Linked DNA regions of Lepisosteus oculatus. Each later gene encodes a partner of the first gene's protein in a complex. Links are inferred from orthologs where the notes say so. Each region holds a gene or a part of one and is shown in the gene's direction. Other genes may lie near its edges.

Region 1 (7,369 bases):
TTGCTATGTATTATATTATATTATAAATGAATTACAAAAATAAATAAAATACTGTTCCAAACCTTAAAAATGAAAAGGAAGAATTATGTTGTTTTCCATTTACAAAGGCATTTTAAGCATTTTAATTTTAATACTCTAGACTGTGCTTGTGTTCAGATTCATTTCTATGCTAAAAATGTTTATTAATAACACAGAAATTGGTTTTAGTGACGGCTTCTACTAAAATCAAAGTAAAGCAATGCTTTTGTTGGAACTGGTGTAAGAAAAAAGGATAATTCCACAGTGCACACCTGATTGGCCTCAGAAAGTTTCACTGGACTCTTTTTTTTACAAGCTGGCGGCATGAGCTGTCTGAAGATGTAATTGGGGGGGTTTGCTTGAGGTCAATGGCTGTCAAATGCCATCGTCATCAGAAATTTCTGTCTGGTACTTGGGCACTGTAACTTGTCAGTTAATGAAAGCTACTTTTATATTCAACACAGGAGAAAACACAGAAATTGTAAGGCTTAGGTGCTGAAGCTGCGAAAGTGGAGATGGAATCACAGAGTTATGCAATACAGAGCAGGGTTTATAATGCAGCATTAACAAAGGAAATGAGAAAACCACACAGCAAATAACAGGCTTTTTATGCTAAACATTAATGCCACTTTTTAAGTTTAGGTACAGTTCCAAGGGACTTCAAATAAATGGTTTTGTAAGAAATATTACGTACAAATTACTACATAAGTCTAGACAGGACATTATTTCTTTATTTACGTTGGCAAATGCAGAATTTGGTTTTAGTCAAATAGTAATTTTAAATATGTATGTTTGGACATATGTAAAAATAAGTAAACGTGTGAACACGTAAATATTTATGTAGATTAGTAACCTGTTATCCACTTCCTGCAATAAACAGAAAGAGTAATTAAAACAGAGGCTATATATTGTAAAAGGATATATGTGATTTCCTTTCTATTGCTACTAGAAAGGTAGACAGATGTTTAACTGCTCCTGAAGCACCAAACCGGATTTGGTCTGAAATGGAGCACAACATTTTTAGTAATAATTGACTTAGTTAACTATCTAAAAGTAAATGATCATTAGAAAACATCTGTAAAGACTATAATAAAAATGACAATGAAGAAAGTCACACATTATGAATTACTTGAATGAAAACAGCCAGATTATTCCAAAGTAAACCTTTGCTATGAGCTTGTAAAATAATTTGTCTTGTGGTTAAACAGTAATCTTTTATTTAGTTTTTCAACAATACCATTTGTTATTTCTCAATAACAGAAAATAATGTTGAAAAAGAGACACTTTCAAGTGAAAGCAGACCAGCAGGATTAACAGTCGGGCAATTTATTTTTTCCTTCATTCTTGGTGTGTCTCTTCACTCAGCTATTAAACCTGTAGTTGTGAATTCCATATTCAGTATGAAAAATAAAGTTTAGTTGAACAGCCTTTAGATTCAGAAGCTTTGAATGATAAACTGAATGTAATGAACTGTTTATCAACACACAGTTAAATTAAAATAACTGACTTGTCACTCTTTTGTTGTTCGTGTTGCCGTCAGGTATTGGGTGTGACTGGAGCAGATATTAGAAACACTTAAGATTAAGTCAATTTCAAGGCATGATTATTTTCTACCAATTGCTCTCAAGAAAATAATAGATGTTATTCCTCGACTGTTGGCAAAACTTTTCCCACAGTCATTTAGGAGAGGATTAATACCCACTGACCGGAAAATGGATAATGTTGCACACATCCATAAAAATAGTGATTATCAGAACCTACTATTTATAATCCAATAGGTCTTATTACAGGTGATCTTATGGAAATGATATTAGAACTTACCTGGCAGATCATATCTGTAGAACAGTAGGGTTTTATAATATAGCAAACAATGATATAGAAAAGGTATGTCTTGCTAAACGATTTTGCTATAACAACAGTAATATATACAGAGAAAATGACATGGTTTATGCAATGTTTTTGGATTAAGAAAATTACTGCAGTATCACAAGGGCCTTTATTATGACCACTTCTCATCCTAATGCACTTTCTGTGGGGGAGCAGAGTGCATTTAAAAGTGAAAACAGGACGTACTTTTCACACAAAGATTTGTGGGAATTTGGTACATATTATCCAGTCATGTTGTAAAAGCAGATACCCTGGGTTCTAGAAACAGATGGATCCACAATTGATCAATTAATTATCTATCATCTAAATAACACAGATGAGCAGAACGGCCTTGTCTTGTCTGTAGCCTTTGTTTTGTTCTTACAAAATTTTGTGTCACGTTTGACTACATTTTGTCTAACCATGTATTGTATAGCTTTGCAAACGATAAATTAAGGAAAATATTAATAGGACAATAGGGTAATGAAAGTAAGTGAACAACTAAAGATAACTTTGTGTGTGTGTGGAATTTATTAATGGCAGATTAATGTATTCCTTCAGTAAAAATGAAAAACATCATTAATAGTTTCTAACATACCATTTGAATATGCATGTTTAAATCAGATTATAGTGTATATATTTATATTAAATATAATATAAATATAAATATATTAAAGGTGGGTAGCTGCGTCAGCATGCGTAGGCTGCAAAGGAACAAGTAATAGGTTTATTCCATGCTGAAAAAAAGAAGAAAGAGAACACAACGTTTCGGCCGTGGAGCCTTCTTCAGGTGTGAAGAAGGCTCCATGGCCGAAACGTTGTGTTCTCTTTCTTCTTTTTTTCAGCATGGAATAAACCTATTACTTGTTCCTAAATATATTAAAGCAGTATTGTTTAACTACACTGTCTACAGAGCTGCATAGAGGTCATAGCATCATAACAGAATGATACACAGACTCCAGAGGTGATTATGTTGTATTCATGAAGAATGAAGGGGGAGAATGTCCCTAATACAAGTTCATGGAGTTTTATATATTCTCTTTACCTGTCCACCTCTCATTACACCACTGCAATTCATAAAACACTTAAGATTAAGAACTTGTTTGTACATGGTATTTTGCCATGCCCTGAAGGCTTGCAACTATTCTTGGCTTTGACCAAAAAATGTTATTAAATGCAAAAGCCATACACCAAATAAAATGTAAAATCAATAAGTTTAAGGTAAGTAGCAACAATCACTCCTTGCTGACAGAACTCTTAGTTTAAATGATTTCTCCATGTTAACTGGTTAGTTGTCAAATATATTTTCTGAACTGACTATATTATTAGTTAGCTTCAGTACCATAACAAATATATTAGTTTACTATACAGTTTAATACAAATAAATTAGAATGTTGGTGATTTGTAAAGCTTGTTTTTATACAAAAGCAATGAACTATTACATTTCTCTTACTATCTACATATTCATTTCAGGATGTCAATGGTCTTTTTATGCAAAAAGGTGTCATTTTTGTGTGTGGTTCACGCAGTTTACCATTACCTTTGTGATCCAAGCTAGCAAATATTTGAGTTCTGCTTCACAAGCCTTTGTGAATCATGCTATGGGCATTTCCTTTGTCAAGTAACATTTTATTGTAGTGCATAACTATGTGCAAGCAAACCTTACGACTATGTTTTCCCATGTAAAACCTAGTATTAGAATAGGCAGACTACCTATTTTCCAAAGTTATTTATGACACATAACCACTTCACATTGTAAATTAAGGAGGGCAAGCATTTCAAAGCAAACTGGACAATGAATCCCTCTCATAAAATCTAGAAGTCTGACTAATGCTGATATTCTTGGCCTTCCCTGTGGTGTGTCAATAGCAGATGCTGACAGCTTCAACATTCTCTGCTTTGCTTACCGATTGAAGTTGTGACACTCTTGTGACTGCAGTCAGTCGTTCTTATAAGGAAGCTACATTTCTATACATACATCAAAATCCAAAAATGTTTTTTTCTTGTATGAGCACTGCTCTTATTATATGATGTATGTAAAACATGTTGTGATTAAATTAAGTTCATCCAATACACAATACATTCTGCATATGTATAAAAATGTCTTCAAATATTTTCATTTCAGAGTAAACGTATATATTACAATCTTCTCATAATTTTATGAGACTTCACACTACATAATTGATTTAAAGAGTAAACTGTTAAACATTTATTTTGAATATGAACACTACGGACTGCATTACACACTCTTAAACCTCCTCAAGTGTGTTTTAATAAATAATTTTAAGTTAGTCTAAAATATGCTTAATGCTTTCAGACTCTATAATATCAAGAACAAAAAAAAAAGAATAATATGGACCAATCCTGCAATCGCCAAACGTTATGTGGAAGGGAGAAAGACCACGTGTATTGGTCTGTCGCAGAAATATGACGTTAAAGACGGTGACGTGTCTTTGTTGACAGCAGATACAGGGGGTTTGCTTTAATTTTCAACGTTTGTGAGAAAGGCATGGTTTAGAAATGGCTGTTGATATAACGTTATTGTTCAAAGCGAGCGTAAAGACTGTGAAAACCCGAAATAAAGCCATTGGGGTTGGATTCGACAGTACAAAAGATGACATCCTGAAGAAAACCAGACTTAAGAGTGACTTCTCCACAAAAGCTAAGGAAGTGGTGAGTGTAATTACAGTCCAGAAATAAGATTCTGGGAATACAAACATTTATAAACCGTCTGTTTTACAGAGAGTTTAGTTATGCAGATTACAGTTATTTTTTCATTGACCGAATATGTAAGGTGTTTTAAATCGGAATGTAGCACCTACACATTTTCTTCACAAAACTGTCGACTTTCTTAATAAATCTCAAATAAATACATTCTAAAAGTGCTATATCATAATGCAATAAGAAGTTACATAAATAAATTATCTCCATTTTCCATTAATTTTGGTGTCCAGAATTTCTACTCGCCTTAACTTCAGAAATGTATAAATGCAAAGTCTGTTTGTCATGTTGTCATCATATTGAGCCGACATGGCGTCAGTTTCAATAGCGATATGCTCAGGATGTTTTTTTTTAATGAAAGAAAGCGTGGGATTTTTATACTAGATGCACATGTCGAGGTTAAGATACACATCAAGGAAAATGTAACTATGAATATATAGTCTTTCTGAAACTGTTTCTTTACCTAATGTGAAACCGTCTGATGTATCATCAATCGTAACTGAAGTTGCTGGTACTTTACTCTGTGGTACTGCAGCAGTACTTACACATTGTAAACAGTGGAGGACTGCAAGTAGTGACGGACCCGGTAGATGGCATTCTTTGCTCTGGAACAGAAAAATACAGTGCAGTCTTAGTGTGGTGACAGAGGATGTGTAGTGTGAGGGTACACTTGAACTAAGGTACACTTTAAAATGGAGCCTGGCATGCAGATACCTATGGTCAAATACCAGTCATTTCTCAGAGGCTCAGGTGTTATTAAACCTTAATAATTACCTTCAGTATTTTATTCTATAAAAATTGAATTTTCATATTTGACTTGCTGATAGCATTCTACTGCATCCTTTGCTGGAATATGACCTTTTTCTGTTACAAAAGATTCCTGGTTCATAAAGACCTTCTCACCACACTACATTTACCCGAAATGTATCTGAACATCTAATGTCACAAAAGCAGAAAAGAAATAATTTGACTGTGCAGACTCTTATTTAGCATTATGAAGATTTAGCCAACAACTTAATTTGATTGTTTTTTTTTAATAATACAAATATGACGTAAACCTTAAAGTGGTGGTAAATTATAAATGAGCAGTGTTACTGATCAGAGGCCCAGGTAGTTTCTGTCATGATGCATGAGGCATAATATGAGTCGAATCATGTTAAGAATCTGTCCTTTTATTCCAGAATCATGTTTAATAGGATTAGGTTATTTTTTTTCTCTCATTTGAGAATTTACCATTCACTTATTCTGCGTTACTCTTTTCCCCATAGACATTTACTGAAGGGCATTTAACATGTTTATTTTATCCTATTTGGTTCGTTTAAAAGTTAAGTAAATGCTTTTACTTTTTTTTTTTTACAATTCTGGATGTAGTCCTTGTTAATTTTAAAAGATACTATTTGAACTATGAAATAACCAAATATCCTTATCAAAGCTTTATTCGTTCAGTCCTTGTTTGTCAAAAAGAGGAAATTGTAAATTCTTCTGTTCTTCACCATTGCATACCACCCAAGTGAAATTTCATTTAGAGTAAAGTTAAAGACAAGTGGGGTTCTTTTGTTGTGTGAAGTCGTATTTCCCCAAGAGAAAAAAAAAACCTTTTTCTTTTCCTTTTAGTGCCATATTCCTGCACTGTCAAGTTATAGTGACTTCACCTTGATGCAACATCTGAGTGTAATTTATTTTTTTATTGGAACCGTATTTTCTGTGCCTAAAACCTTTGACAGAAAGAGCCTCTTGAGCTCTCTAACTGTTCAATGGGACAATTGTACAAGGAGTATTCAATTGTTGTATAGTTGCACTGTTAAAACATCAGCTTTAGCAGATACGACCAGTTAGAGAATGCCTAAGACATTGGAATTGTGAAGAGCCAAAATCTAAAGAGATCTTTAACGGAAGAGAAATGGAAAATTGCAGGAAGATCCAACATCAATAAACTACACAATAGAAAGCCACTGGTAACATAGAATTCATGATTTAACATTCAATCAATGAATAAAAGAGATGAAAACACATTAATTAAATGCCATCAAGAGCAGGGCATTGCCGTGTTGCATTCTGAATGTGAAATGCCTAGAAATCCTATGCAAGGAGGTTGATTCAGCTGCTGGTATCTGTCTCCCTTGTAAAATTGAAATTGTTTAATCGTCAGTTCTTAGTGTTTTGCCCATGTAGCATATCAATCAATGTTTATTCTAGCAATTTCTAGACGTCAGCTGACATTCTGTACGGTAAATTTGGCCTTATTCATTAAGTGCTTCTTTCTTCCATCTGTGTTCTGTTGAAGCATTTCAGTCTTCAAAACAGCTGAACCGGTGGCACCAATGTTTTTAGAATAGTGGAAATCTACATAAAGTTTATGAAACCTTGTATGCATTTCAGTATGAACATTAGGTTATAGGCAAAGTTTAAAAATAAATATTTAAGAAAATAATTGTAATGTAAACCAAAGATTTTATTGCCGTGAATCACAATTTCTCCCTTCTCTTTAACAGTTAAAAAGTTCTTAGATTTTTTTATTTTGCCTCTCTAAATATTTCAAAATGTATAGTTATGAAAACAAAGGACATTAATGTGTTTTTATCTTCATCTTGAATAATACAAAACATGAGGTACTGAATAAATATTTTCATACCTGTTTCTTAAAGAATGCAGACTGTTTGAAATCGGCTGTAAAATACTATATATAGTGGTTTCAATATAGTATTAAAAAATCATATTTTATGAAATACCATTTCAGCAGATTGGTGAGGGGCTGTTTGTATTA
Region 2 (7,860 bases), on another chromosome or scaffold:
ACTCTTGCTCTTTGCTCAGCTGTACGTTACTGTAATAGCTGAAGGACTTTTTACTTTGATTGAGTAGCGTGAATTTAGCGACATTAAGCGGCGCTGGCTTGTCAGCACCTTTCAAAATAAAAGTCCCATAAAACCTGCCTCATAAAAAATAATCCTGGGCCAGTTAAAGTCACATTTATAGTCACAACAACAATTTGTTCATCCTCAAAACTAGGTGGAATGTGATAAATAGACCCACAGGTAATAAGGAATTGCCGTTCTTCATTAATTTTTTTGCTCTCTTGCAATCTTATTGGTGTTTTTATAACACTTTCTCCTTGCAAATTGACACAGAGCTGTGCATTGCTAGACATGGAAAAGTATAATTCCTGACAAAAAAAACTGTGCCTCTCCAAAAGTAGTTCCAATCTATTCTACAGACCCTCAGCTAATAGAAAATCACCATGGTTTTCTCAGATAAGCACCTCTGTCAAAACTGCTGGGGTTTATAGAGCACCTCCAATTCCCAGATTGGGACAGTGCAGCGATGGGCACTCTCCAAAAATACCTCAAATCTACTCTACAGACCCTCAGCTAATAGTACATAACCGAGGTTTTGTCATTATATGTGTCTTTGCTAAAGTTGCTGGGGTTTAGAAGACCACTTGCTGTTCCCAGACTGGAACCGTGCAGTGATGGACAGGGAGTGGTCTCATTCCCCTCCCGACCAAATAAAAATTTGTTCCTCTCCAAAAGTGACTTAGATCTGTTCTACAGATCCTCAGCTAATAGTACTATAGTACTCAGCTAATGGTTTTGCCAGATGAGCGTCCTTTGCCAATGTTGCTGGGGTTTATAGGGGTCTTTTAGTGGCCGATACTAGATTTGTCTCGAAGGGCATGATATCACAATGTGGGCATTGTTAACACTTCACCAGTGGATTATCCTTTCTGGTTTGAAATAAAGTGTCAATTTCACACTTTTTTCCTTACTGTCTATGGGATAATTGTTTGGAGTGTAAATGTAAGACATATTATCAAACTTTGGTATTCTGCTTTATTAAATTTATTAGAGTGTATTGAAACAGCCAAAATATTGAATAGACCTTCAATGGTGATGTATCTTTCCTGGGAAGGTGGCTCTGCCACAGACATGGTATGGAGCCTTTTTGATTTGATCCAGTAATGTGGAAACGGTGGCTCACATGTTGCCCAAGTACTAGTTGTTAATTGATTCCCCCCATGCGTTCCGAAAGACTGGGAAGTAAAGATGCCTTGTAAGTGTTCTGTATTAAAACACTACAGATTTTCTCTTAAATTACATCAGCTTTTATTATTTTGAGTGTAGAACTACTCAGACAGCATTCAAATGCTGCTTCAGCTGTCTGGCCTATTATCCTTTGGACACATAAATTCTCCACAGCACAGGGGGGAGGAAAAACCTCATTGAACTGCAAGAAACCCTCCGGGGTTCAATTTTGGATGATAGAATCTAATATTAGAGAATTTCTCACGAAACTTCTATGTCAATTTTACCTGGTTCGGCATCTACACGTATTTTTGGAAATCTGAATAGCTTTAGATCCCAGAAGGGTCTTGAAAGTCTTGTGTATTGTTACAGGTAAGGCTGTCTGTTTCTTTGTCACTGATTGCAAGCTATTCAAAGACTCTTTCAGTGCCTCTTTACTATGCAGTAGAGTTGATATGTAACTGTTCAGTGGCTCCAGGTTTTTTTGTGTTTCATGAGTATTGGCATTCTCAACAGTGAGTACATGGTTTGACCAATATATGTCTCTGTCTGATGCCTCCCTTATTTCTAGAAAACAAACACAATAATTAGTTTGGTCTATGCTATGTGTTGGCTGTGTTGTGATGTATTGATCATTTGCTTTAATTCTAAATTTCTGTCCAATGCACAAAAGTACCGCCCAATGATGTCCACCTCTGTTTATAGACTTTCCTTCATGGCATATTGTTGATTTAATTGTACATTGCACTTTACCAACACTTTCCAATTCCAACTGCAGTTCGCAGTGGAATGTGCTCTGGGAATCTGAATCACAATAGTTTGTGGACAAGAGCTAAATTGTTGCTTCCAGACCACTGTTTGCTAACACTTTGAGCAATTCTGTGTGACTATGTTCTCTAGCAAAGACTTGTGTATGAGGGTCGATTAACTCATGAAAAACTCAGCTATCTGTGCAAGCAAAAAATGACTGACTTCACGTCTTTCGGTATGCAGGAAACTACAGTTCTAGCAAAAGTCTACATGGGAAGTAATACTGTTTACTTGGCCACAAACAAACCAGGACATAAGGGGAATTATTAAATTGGCTGGGTAAATTTCTCTCTTGAAATCTACTGAAGATATTACTTCACATATCTCATCTAACACTGGCTTTGAAAAGTAGCTGCTAAGGTTGTTGATGGAAGGTTTGACCAAATTCAGTAAACAGCCAGGCATAATCTTAAAACCTTTAGAAAATAATTTAATATTTGTTTTGGTCTGCATTGCATTCATGTTACTAACACGCTACATGACAAAATTTAACCAGCACTTGTTTTTGAGAATGTAATGATAGGTGGCTTGTTGTAATCATTTGGATGACCATAAATTTTGCATGTATCATTTAGACTAAAAATGTCTGATTGTCTTGATAGGGGGTTTTTGGAATGAATGCCTGAGATGTTGTGGAATTTTCTTGTTCCATTCCTCCTCTTCCACAAGGGCAGGAGACTTACTTATTCTAGAAAAATTCAGTCTTATCTTATCACAAAATTCCCTTTAATTTCCTTTGTAAAGAGTTCCTAACCTTTCCACACATTCATTTTGAGCTTTACCTCAGAAATTGATGTAGTCCATCCATCTTGCTGAAATCTACCCATTAGTATGTCTGTCCAAATTGAGATTGACGACAGGATTTTTTTTTTTCCAAAACAAGTTTTGAACCAAAATAGTCATTGGGCTCTTTGTTCTCCTGTCTGTTTATATCTGTCATTGCCTTAATGTACATTTTTTTAAATCGTGAATAAATGGAGAATTCACATTCTCTATGCATCCAAAATCAACATCTGAGTCCTCAGCACCTGTAACAGTGGGGACACTGCTAGTGTTCAGTTGTGACACTAGACTTCTGAGATTGGAAATAGACTGTGTGACAAGTGTGTTATTTTATCTACTACCCATGAAAATGCAGGTATCATAAATATGAGCAGAGAGATCTTCTAATCCCACTGAATTAATTATGACACTGAAGATATACATGCCGACTCTGCAAAATTTCCTTGGTTATTTTAGCTGGTTTTGGAAAATTACCACTGTGCTCGTGTTTTAATTTCCGGGGTTTCTCATAACACCTACCATGTAGATTCATACCATCAACATCACTTCTGCACATACTGTGCATTTTACTTTTTGAGGGAATTACATGAGGAACAATTTCCTTGGGTGACGGATGCACTACATGCAATACTACTTTCCACTTCTGTGTCACCATTTAGCTCGACCTCCCTATCCTGGGAAACCATCTGTTTATTGTCTGTCTTACCACAATAAGCCCCCCAAATGAGATAATCCAGCGCTGTTTGAGCACCAATGCTGACGTGATACATCAATTTTACTTTTTTTTGGTTACATCTAACTTATTATGTATTACACTGCTGATTGCTTCACATTTGTTCAAGAAACTGAACCCAGTTTTTAATGCCGTGGCTTTAACATCACAATTTTCTGAGCAACACAGAAACCCTACAGAATCAATATCTTTGTCATTCTGTCTCATACCTATACAAACAAAATTAATCCACTCATTGCAAGCGTCACACTCCACCTTTGTGTTTTTTACCTGTTGGATGATTTACAGATGCATTACAGTTTTTGCCTTTTCAAAACAGTGCCAGTCATCCACTCTATGTCTAAGAACCTTTTTATATTGTATGGTTACTCCGTGTCACAGCTATGGTTTTGGTCACAATACTATGATCTTCAGTGTCAGCATTACTTTGGTTGGGATCACGGTTATTGTTTACACTTTTCCCTGTCCATCACTGCACAGTCCCAGTCTGGGAACAGCAAGCGGTCCTATAAACCCCAGTAACATTAGCAAAAACACTTATCTGAAAAAAACACAGTTATTTTCTATTAGCCGTGGGTCTGTAGAATAGATCTGAGGTATTTTTGAAGAGGTCCCAGTCTGGGAATGGGAGGTGCTCTATAAACCCCAGCAGTTTTGACAGAGCCACTTATCTGACAAAAAAAGGGTGATTTGCTATTGTCTGACTGTCTTAAAATTGTATGTTTCACCACTTTTGATGGTGCAAAAAAAATGTTTTTGCCCTTGATTATAGTCTAAAAAACTGAATTAAAATATAATAAATGATTTGATTTAATTAGAAATTTCAGATACAGCTCCTTTAAAAGCTTGCATCTTAAAACCTTTTTCATTGGACAGGAAAAAAACATGTCTATGAAAAGAATATAACAATGACAATTTTTACAGTACTATAAATGGAAGAAAGGTGCTGTAAAATTAATAAAAACTTCTAATAATCTTAGATTTGTCAAACTTGGAGATTAGTGGATACGATTTAAAATTAAAAAGGACCCTCTCAAATTTTGGCAGAATGTTCAAGGAATTACAGTTACCCACGAAGAAATAACAAAGCAGGTGTTTCAGCTTAATGTTGCTATACTCCTCATACTATACTCCTGTGGTAGCTGAAGGCTTTTATTTTGATTGAAATTCGGCTATTTACATACACTTCCGGATCATTCGCGTCGCTTAAAATAACTAGCTTCCTAGTCTCATAAGCTTTCAAAATAAAAGTTCTAAAAAATGTCTGGGAAAAAAATCCTCAACAGGTAAAGTTATATTTCTGATAAACGTTACATATTTACACTATATGTGCTCTGCTTTAAACCTCGTCTAATAGTATCAGGCTACGTTTCTTTGAAAAATATTAACTCTTAAGTGCTGTAGTCTTTGCGGTAGCATACAAAGAGTTATTCTACTCGAGTTATTCTACTACTTGCTTTTAAGTTTAAAGTCTACAAGGTTGATAGCTGGCATAGTTTTGGGTGCACAAAACTGTAACTACCCGAGAGAATCTTAAAGATGTTCCATTTAAAATAAAAGTATACGTAAATATACTTGTATACGAATCTTTTAATTTGTCTTGAAAGGCGGCTTTCTAGAGGACGATTACTGAGATTTTTGGGACACTATAGGTTTGTTGAAACGTTTACTGTTCTAAAAGATCATTTAGATATGTCATTTAGATAAATCAATTAATATGATACCCACTCAAAACAACAAAAAACTTATTTTTTTTTAGAAAGCATACTGTAATATTTGCAGATAAAACAATTTAAAGGGTCACTAATCATGTGAAGCTCATTCCCACACATTCCGAGTACTACATTGTCCATAAAGCTTTGCTCTTTAGTTTTCCTTGGTAGAAGCCTTTATAAAATACACATTTGAGAGGGAAACTTCAAGTCTTGTAATTAAAAAAATAGTTAAGATAATGTCATGTTTTATAACGTAGCATATATGGCGTTATTATTGTACCTATTCTTCTTATAATGTTAATCCCTTCAAAACAGGCAACGAAAAGTGGTCTAAAATGCAAGGACCATTACCAGGAGTCCCGATAATCTTTTGTTTTCACGTACTTATATTTGACTTGTAGGTGAATTACGCGGTTGGTTCCTTGAAACAAAACACAAATACTGAAATGTCTTCCGAAGAGTTTGAAAAGTTGCATGAGTTTTATAAATCCCTTTTCGAAGAGCTAAAAGTGATGCCAGACCGAGTGTCCCGATGTTATGGAGGTAAGTAGAAAGGCTTCGAAAGTCGAACTGGAATTTCAATCAATAAAATACCAGAAATTCATTGGAATTATAATATATATAATATTAATTGGAAATACTTCACATTCGATAAATATTCCGATGGAAAACCTAACACAATATATTAACGAGACATTTTAAAACGTTACCTCAATTCAACGTTTGGGATTTCTAGCTCCTTAGTGAAATATAAATGTCAGAAGTCTATATTATCATTATTGCTGCTGACAGTCGGTGTCGTGAGATGAATACAGGCTCCAGGAAGGTACTAGGAATAACTGAGCTGTTACCTTGATTCTGTTATCACTGAAGAGGCACAGAATGGCTTACGAATGTGTCTGTGCAAGTAGAGCGCAGAATTCGCTCTAAATATTCAAGTAAATTTATATTCAATATTAAAAAAATAAAGATCGACAAAGCAACGTAGGAAATGCACAATTCTAATAAATGCAATAAAATGCAAAACTTTCGTACAGTTTGTAGAACGGCAACATACAAAACAAGAGACTTATAAAGTGCAGTGCAAACGTTACAAATTATAAAACATTTATCCAAAACGTCCTGGAACAAAAATTCTTTGACGTTTTCTTCTTTTAGAGAAGCCCTGAACTCGGAAAACCTCATGAAATTGTAATGATATCAGAATTTTAATTTCATTCCCATTTTGGTTCCGTTCATTCCGAGAGACAAGTTTGGTAGTAAGGACTTGCTCCTGATGGTGCTGCCTTCATCTGGATTGATACTTAAAACTCACATAAGGTTGCATTCTTTGCTGATAATGCAGTATATGACTTATTTGGACATAAAAGTGTCATGGGTGGAACAGGCGGTTTAGGCCAGACCTCTGATGAGAAACAGAAAATGTACAGAGGAATTTTAAATTGTTCAGGATAACCCATCTATAGCAACCAACTTCACTGTTTTAAACCACTGTCACCAATTTCATATAAAACACAAGAACCTCAAAGAATATGTGGTCCACATTTTGTTCTTTCTTTTGAACGTTTTTAAAACATTACTTGTAATAGGTGTAACATTTAGGAAATTGTCTTGCAGTGCAATGGCCCTCGTGTGCTATCTGTGTGGAGTTTGTATGTTCTCTTCGTGTTCGTGTCTGTTATCTGTGGGAGCTCCAGTTTCCTCCCGCAGTCCAAAAACTCACTAGTAGATTAATTGGCACCTGGTAAAATTGGCTTAAGCTCCCCAGCAGCCCTGTATTGGATGAAGCAGTAAGATAATGGATGAATGGGATTTAACTTCTGAAAATAGTATTTTGAATCAAATGCTTTTTGTAAATCTTGTGTACAACATAACTTTCCTTTTCAGTGCTTATCTATACAAGTTTTAACATAAAACCTCTTTACTGCCTCTTTGGTGCCTGCTTAAAGTTCTACAACTTGCTTTAGAATATGAAAGAAATGTTACTTAGGGAAGAACAGGACACTTTGGAACCAGCAGTAATGTGTTATATTATACTTATTTAATATTTTATACGTAAGGGATGGTGAGGTAGTGAATACAGCACTAAATCCCTAGCTGGGGTCACAAGAGATGTTCTAGCGAGCAAGCATTTTTTAAATATAGGTATGCCAGTGCATGCAACTTGAACCTTTTTGCTATGAGCACAACTCTAAAACCTTTCTTCTTTCAGAGGAAAGGAAGCGGCATGTGAGAGTTTTTGATGAAAAAGTAGGAGAGGCAGAGGAAATGGTAAGGAAAGGATAAGGTGGGATTTTCATTCTTAAATGTTTGTGCTCTACAGGGTTTTAAGGCTGTCCGGGGAGATCTTGATTGTCAGCTAGATCCATAAGTTCTATAATTTACTCAGTCACCATATCAACTAATTGAACAGTTGAAGAGCTGCTTTTACATTTGGCTTGTATCTGACTTCCCCTGTAACCAAATAAATCAAATGTGCTGGACCAGTCCTTTGCTAATTCCATGTTTGAATTTAGCCCAGTGGCTTTTAGACCCCCCCCCCCCCCCATGTTTGTTGACCTTTGTTGCAGATTTGTGAAACATTTCATATCT
Region 3 (6,955 bases), on another chromosome or scaffold:
GTACCTACTCTGATAAGTAAAAACAGTTCACAAAAAACATTAAGTAAAAATAATAGTAAAAAGTTGCCTGCTGATGTATTATTCAGCTTGCTAGAAGGAACTTGGAGTGAAGCTTGGGTTCCAGAGCTACATATTAAAATAATAATGACTTCAATTAAGATATTTACTACTACACTTGAAATAACAGCTGCACAGAATAAATCAATAGTTTGCTACACTATCAGAATGGCAACTATGGTGAAGGTGCTTTACACACCTACTATTAACACAGAGCTGTATCTTGCACTCTCAGCCCAAGACCATTGCCCCAGTCTTCCTGTATCTCAAAACCAACAAAGATCTAGATAATTTTAAGTATTACATATACGTTTTGTTCTTCAAGGCTGTGATGGTGATTATTGATATAAAAAATAATGTTACATTTCTGCCTGCATTGCACTATCCAAAAGCATTGGTATCAATGACAAAATAGCCTGGGCAAACTGTATTCCAGCGAGTGGATGTACCATTATGTAAAATTATCATCGTTAAATAATGCTGAGAAATAAATGTAAAAGTTACTACCAAGAATATACGCCTGCGTTTTAGGGCGACACTGTTGTTATGGCTAATTATTTTCATTTAAAATTTAAAAATGCAAACTGTACCATTGTGAATGGCAGTTTGATTCAATAAAATTAAATGCATTCAAGCTGACAACCAGGGCTCCCTAATCCAGATCACATCGAAGCTATTAAATATGTTACACTTAGGATGTTCACATCATGTCAGGATGGTAATGACAGAAAACATGCATTTCTGTAAAAATAGAAGGTAGTCGGCTAAACACACTAACAAATCACAGATACTGTATACCCTGCATTTCGAAGCCCACACATGGAAACACGGTTAACGGATACGAATCGTATATATAAATATACAAGATGTTAACCAAATACGTATAAAAATGAAAAATACTAAATTATACCTCCTTATTGTAAGCCTGCAGTGCCTTCAATGCGGCATCTTGGTCTCCTGTTTGCATCGTTTCTATGATGGCATTGAATTCCATTTTCATTGCTGTATTACAGACGCAGTTATTGTTGTTCAAGTCAAACTGACAACCACATACACGCCTTGCTTTGGGTAATATTCTGATGTGTCTCACTGCGTTACCTTACTCTACCAGCTCTTATCCCTGAAACTCGAAAGTCCTGGAACAAGATTAACGCAGGATTGTAAGCGTGCGTAAGGATTTCTGGGAAATGTAGTTTTACGTTTTTGTTTCTACACGATCAGGTGCAAGTCTCTAGGTGTAATACTGCTACAATATGCTGGGGATGTATTGATACAACGCGAGGTGTTAAGATAGACATATTCACATTGTTTTAAAAAAAGGGTACATTTAGGGTTTGCAAAACCGCACTCTTTTTTGCTCTTTTTCTTGTGTATCTCTTCTCTTTCTCCCTGGTGTTATTCTTACAATTAACTGGTGAACATACCGTCCACAAATCGTCTTATATAAAAGAAAAGTGCTTGGAAAAGTGAGCCTGCGATTCACAAGCCTTATTAACAAACATTTGATGAGCTTTTACATTTGAATTCAACAACACGACTCATTTAATTATCCCCCTTGGAATAAGGAATAACACTTCTATTGCAACAAAACAAAGAGTGAAACTAATCACGATACTAAGCTAAAACTATACTAAAGACAAAGTTGCCAGTCACTTAACCTTCTTACGACTTGTACAAAAATATTTCAATATCAATTCTCAGGTGGGAAAAATTCCTAAAGATTTTCTATGTGTATGATAGTTAAGTGTTGAATCAAAGGACTTGTAGAGACTTTTTAAAATACTTTTTTTATTTAAAAAAAACTGATTTTCCAATCAGTACGTGGTACTAAACATATGATACTTAACAGGTCATATTTTACTCCTCTCCTTAACAAAATTAACAATTGGACTAACCCAGAGGTCTGTATATTTTCTCAGTTGTTATGTGTCCTTCTTTCCTTCTTTTTGGTCAATACAGTGTAGAAAATGGAAAGTATATGCGGAAAGTGTGATCCTTTACTGGTAGCATTAAACTTGTGGGTTTATACAATGTGTAGGATTCTGCTTATTTAAATTTAATTTATGTTCTCTGGTTCATGTTTCAATGTTGAATCTGATGAAGTCAATTGGATTGCCTTTAAGGATTTTGCATTCCCCTTGTAGTATTCCCTGCTCAAGACTAAAAATATTTTGCCTATCAGTATATGACACTCACAGATGTATGGGAATTTATCTGGACACCATTCTCTGGAATGATTCAAGAGCAGTAATGATGTTCTTATAACGTGCTGATAAAAAAAAAAATGTTCACAATATTCTACAAAAACAAAAACTAAAGTGTTTTACTGTTTTGCCCAAACATCACTTTATTTACATTCTAGACATTTAATCATAATTTCTAACTCACTCTCTGCCTTCCCCACATATAAATGATGTACACACCTACAGTAAGTATGTATCATAAATGATCTGTATTTAATTCACAGGTCCAAAACTGAGCACAGCGCTCCAGCAGTCCAAGACAACGATGCTAACCAGGGTGTCACCATGCAGTTAGTTAAGCCTGTCTTGCTTGACTTGTTAGAACAGTTTGAACAAATAACAGCAGCTATGGATGTGACATATGACATGATATATTTAGATTTTCAGAAAGGTTTTTAATAATGGTCCTCATAAAAGATTGAGTCTCAGATTCTAGCCTTGAAATGAAAATTGGTCATAAGGATAAAAAAGAGATATAAATAAGGGATGTATACTCAAGGGATGATACTAAGGGATGACATAATTAATCTGGCACTACAGGGTTAATAGTTACATCTTTCCTTTCCTTAAAACCAATTAGTAGGATGTCATTAGGCCCTGGCTGGCCTATCTGTTAATTTTAGGGGCTTCTAATCCCTGCGACTCCACCACCTCTTCTATGCTAATTGTATTCAATACAGATCTTGGCCTTTGCTCAGCCTGAGGAATGTTGTTGATTTCTATCCTGATGACCACCCCTCTAAAATAAGAAATATATCACTCCTTTCTGTTTCATTTCCTAAAAGCTTCTGATATTTAAATCTGTATCTGTTCTTATGCTGTTGTAACACTGAAAAAAAACTTTTATTATATTTGGTTATTATATCTTTTTAAAATAACTCCCTACTCTTATCGAGAAATGCCCAGGGATCTTTAATGAGCGCTGAGAGTCAGGACCTTGGTTTAATGTCTCATCCGAAGGACAGCACCCACTACAGTATTAGGACCCACACAGACCACAGGGTGGGCACCCCCCACTGGTCCCACTAACACCACTTCCAGCAGCAGCCATAGCTTCCCAGGAGGTCTCCCATCCCAGTACTGACCAGGATTAACCCTGCTGAGCTTTAGTGGGCTGCCAGCTGTGAGCTGTGAGCTGCAGGATGATGTGTCTTCTGGCGTTTGTTCTAACTATTAATAGTTACAAATATATCAAAATTATTGTAAATTAGGCAGTTCTGCTTAATTTCAAAATGAATTTAAATTATAATTGATTTTATAATTTTACTCTGTTTTGTTGTCACAGTAATTTGCAAAAAGATATTTCTTTCTTCCTGATTGGCGAAAATAACAAATATGATGTATTTTTTTTAATTTAGAAACGAAACAATCGGATTAGTTGCGTATATTTTAGGATTATTTTATAGTGCACTTATTTTTTTATTGAAAGACAAGGCCAATGTATGTTCCAATCTATTTATTCCAAAGGGCAACTCTAATAAAATCAGCATTATATATGGACGAGACATTAATAACATTTTTACTTTCAAACATTACCCTATTAATGTAACAGGATGTGACGTATCCGTTACTTTACCTTTAACCCTCTTCCCAGAAGAAGGAAGTCAACAAAGATGGCTGACTGGAATAGAGGTAGGAAGTGGACACGTAGTCAATTCTAAATAATATTTTATTGGTTTAATAGTGTTTTTGTGTGGTTGTATAGTCTGAAAGTTTCTCTTGACAAGTGTGTTAAACGTATATAAAGTTGTGGATACTAGGTGTTGTAAATTGGACTAGAACAAGTGAAATAAATATAATTATGATGCTTCATCAAGCTAATAATTGATCAATGTAACGAGTATAATAGTTGTTACAAACGAGACATCGCTGAATCGAAGTAGAGTCATAAAAATAAAGACAGCATTTAAGCTGATGATGTGCATGCTGTAAGCGTCCTAAACATTATTCAGACGGTTTTTTACTTCGTTTAATCTACTTAAAATTACTCAAGGAACGCTGATCACACAGAGTAGTTTGTATCAAACAGGTTTCTGATCATTAAATTGTGGCATCAACCGGAGTAATCAAGGGTGGGCAGAGCTCTGCTTTCTTTAAGGCTTCGTCTGGCACCCACACTTGGTCATAATTAATTCAAATGGTTTTCCTTTTCCGCGTTATATAATTTGTTTCTAGTGTGTCTGATCGTCTTCAAACATGCTTATATTATCACTGTGAACTGTGTTCGTGCTGCCTTGAGACAGGCTTTGAAACGGGTGCTCACTTACTTTGTGATGCTCTTCTCTCTTGCTGTTTTTCCTCGTGGTAAGGACATGGCTCTGGTGCTGTGGATGAGATGCTGGATGTTGAGAATAAGCTCTTGGCAGACAATCTGGCCACTAAAGTCTCCAGACTAAAATCAGTATGTATTTAAACCTCTTACTACACCTTGTGGCATATGTGTGTTTTTAAAATGATTTTAAAGCGTTTTTTTATTTTCCAAAACATTTATCAGTAACTTGGTAATAGATTTATGATCTCATTGTTTTAATTTGCAAAAGTAGATTGTAAACGGCCCGTTACAGAAGACCGATACAGAGACAAGCCTACTATTCTCTAATAGTATTGAATTCCAATACACTGCTCATGTGTTTGTACAAACCTGGGCTTCACTTTGTTTCACAACATTTTTACTATCAGAACTAAGAATGCAGTTTACCAGTCGTATCATACAGAAACAAAAGATTTACTACAGGACTCTGAGATACTGCTGTTGCGCACTCCTTAATAAGTGTTTCTATGCTTTTATTTAACAGCTGGCCTTTGAAATAGATAAAGAAGCTGAGGACCAAAATTCCTATCTTGATGGCATGGTAAGAGCAATTTGCAGGGCCTAAGATAAGATATGAATTTGAAACATTATTATGCTAATGTGACTGGGAATGCAATTTGTTCATTATAAAGTTTGTGATAGTACTGTTGTTCATCTACAACTTCAGGATTCTGTGGCAGCACCTTATTTGGTTGTTCTGGTGACTGGACAGGACTGAAAAAGTAGCTGCGATAGCCTAAAGGGAAACAAAGGAACAGGATTGACTTTAAGGTCAAGAATGACTTGCAGCTGAATGATGCAAAACTCTTAATATACTCCACCAGAAAAAAAAACTGATGACTTTGATGATAAGTAACATTTTTGGGGGGATTTTTACATTACATACATTTTTGGGGGATTGTTAAACATTATGGAAACAGCTATGTGGGCCCACAACTCTATTGATAGTTCTGTTATAATAATAGGAATAATAGGAGCTGGAGTCATGAAAGTTAAGAGTTTTAAAGCCATGCTCTGGTTTGCAACTATTGCAGGTGTCTTAGTAACAGTTATTTTGGTTTGTCTGTCTGAAATATTCCACTTGTGTCGTGTCAATTCTTATGCCTACAAACTCCATGTTCTCTCCCACTTGTGGGTATACAGGGGTGTGTTATATATTGAGGTGTATTTTGTTACACAGAATCATCTTCTTTGCAGACAAGCAATAAAATATTAATTCCACTTGTTCCTAACTACCTAGAACTTTAGAGTTTTGTGAATCACATGACCCTTAACATGTATTCCTACAAAAGCTAAAACCTGTTTTTAATTGGACTTGTGCTGTATTTACACGTTCTTTTTGTTTTCTCAAGGACTCAAACTTTTTGAGCACCACAGGGCTCTTGACAGGAAGTGTGAAGAGGTTTTCTACAATGGTTCGCTCTGGAAGGGACAACCGGAAGATTTTGTGCTATGTCTCAATTGGACTGGTCTTAGTTTTTTTTATACTTTACTACCTAGTCTCTAGGACACAGACGTAAAGTGGACAAAGGGAAAAAGTTTTGTTCCTTAATTGACAAGGGGTTTGCAATGAGTTTCTCAATTATATGAGAAATTGAAAATATTTCCTAATGATACAGGCCTCATTAAGCTCTGATCGTTGTGGTGAAGCACCCCCAAAAGACTGAAAAACCGCCGTTTCTTCCCAGTAAAACTGAAATTCACAGAACGCAATATAATCTGTACATCGAAACAAAGGTTTCTGGTTTTAACCCTGATTATAGCAACATTTCTCTGTGCATTCTTAAATGTGAAATTTCATCCTGTGAAAGAGAATGAGAAGGTTTGCTGGTATCCTGATTGCAGAATGCTTCTTGGTGGTTTGGTTTGTGGGGAGTGGGTGTTCCTCATGTGCGTTTCTGCTTCTCTGGAATATTCTCGTACCTAGGAGTAATTTTAAGATTATAAGAAATGAAAACGAAGGTTAGAGAGCAGCAGAAAACATACTCCTATGACCTATGAAGTTATCCTAGATGATAAACGGATCAGGAATGGGAAGAACTACTAGTTGTTTTTAGAGTGGTGAAAGAGGGAGGCGGATCGGTTTGTCTTTAAAATATTTAAGACAGGGGGAGTACACAATTTAAAGCTGCTGTAATGTGGCAGGTGAATGAAGGTGTGCTGTAGAAAAAAACAGAAGTCTTTAATTTTTCAGTATTTTGCAGCTACACCTAGGACCTTGTAATATTTCAGCATTGGCACAAGGTTATTATTATACTACAGAATACACTTACATGGAAATATTTATTCTTCTAAGTTAAATTTTAAATTCTAAACTGTGATAATGATATTTTTATTTTGGGTA

The links. Proteins that work in one complex are often made in the same cells at the same time.
Region 2: stx18 (region 1) and vti1b share a complex: the UniProt entries of both Homo sapiens proteins name them as parts of the SNARE complex. The link is inferred for Lepisosteus oculatus from reciprocal best matches to the Homo sapiens genes STX18 and VTI1B.
Region 3: stx18 (region 1) and bet1l share a complex: the UniProt entries of both Homo sapiens proteins name them as parts of the SNARE complex. The link is inferred for Lepisosteus oculatus from reciprocal best matches to the Homo sapiens genes STX18 and BET1L.

The regions. Positions count from the first base shown.
Region 1 is NC_090696.1:43,625,094-43,632,462, forward strand, and holds the start of stx18 (syntaxin-18), read left to right. Parts: upstream 1-4,312; 5' UTR 4,313-4,404; coding exon 4,405-4,557; intron 4,558-7,369. UniProt on the Homo sapiens protein: Syntaxin that may be involved in targeting and fusion of Golgi-derived retrograde transport vesicles with the ER.
Region 2 is NC_090703.1:26,309,790-26,317,649, forward strand, and holds the start of vti1b (vesicle transport through interaction with t-SNAREs homolog 1B), read left to right. Parts: upstream 1-4,754; 5' UTR 4,755-4,839; intron 4,840-5,359; exon of another isoform or gene 5,360-5,669; 5' UTR 5,670-5,714; coding exon 5,715-5,811; intron 5,812-7,480; coding exon 7,481-7,539; intron 7,540-7,860. UniProt on the Homo sapiens protein: V-SNARE that mediates vesicle transport pathways through interactions with t-SNAREs on the target membrane. These interactions are proposed to mediate aspects of the specificity of vesicle trafficking and to promote fusion of the lipid bilayers.
Region 3 is NC_090716.1:11,901,691-11,908,645, forward strand, and holds the start of bet1l (BET1-like protein), read left to right. Parts: upstream 1-3,849; 5' UTR 3,850-3,913; coding exon 3,914-3,932; intron 3,933-4,609; coding exon 4,610-4,701; intron 4,702-5,095; coding exon 5,096-5,152; intron 5,153-5,963; coding exon 5,964-6,131; 3' UTR 6,132-6,955. Other genes in the region: ric8a (synembryn-A), read right to left, coding at 968-1,057. UniProt on the Homo sapiens protein: Vesicle SNARE required for targeting and fusion of retrograde transport vesicles with the Golgi complex. Required for the integrity of the Golgi complex.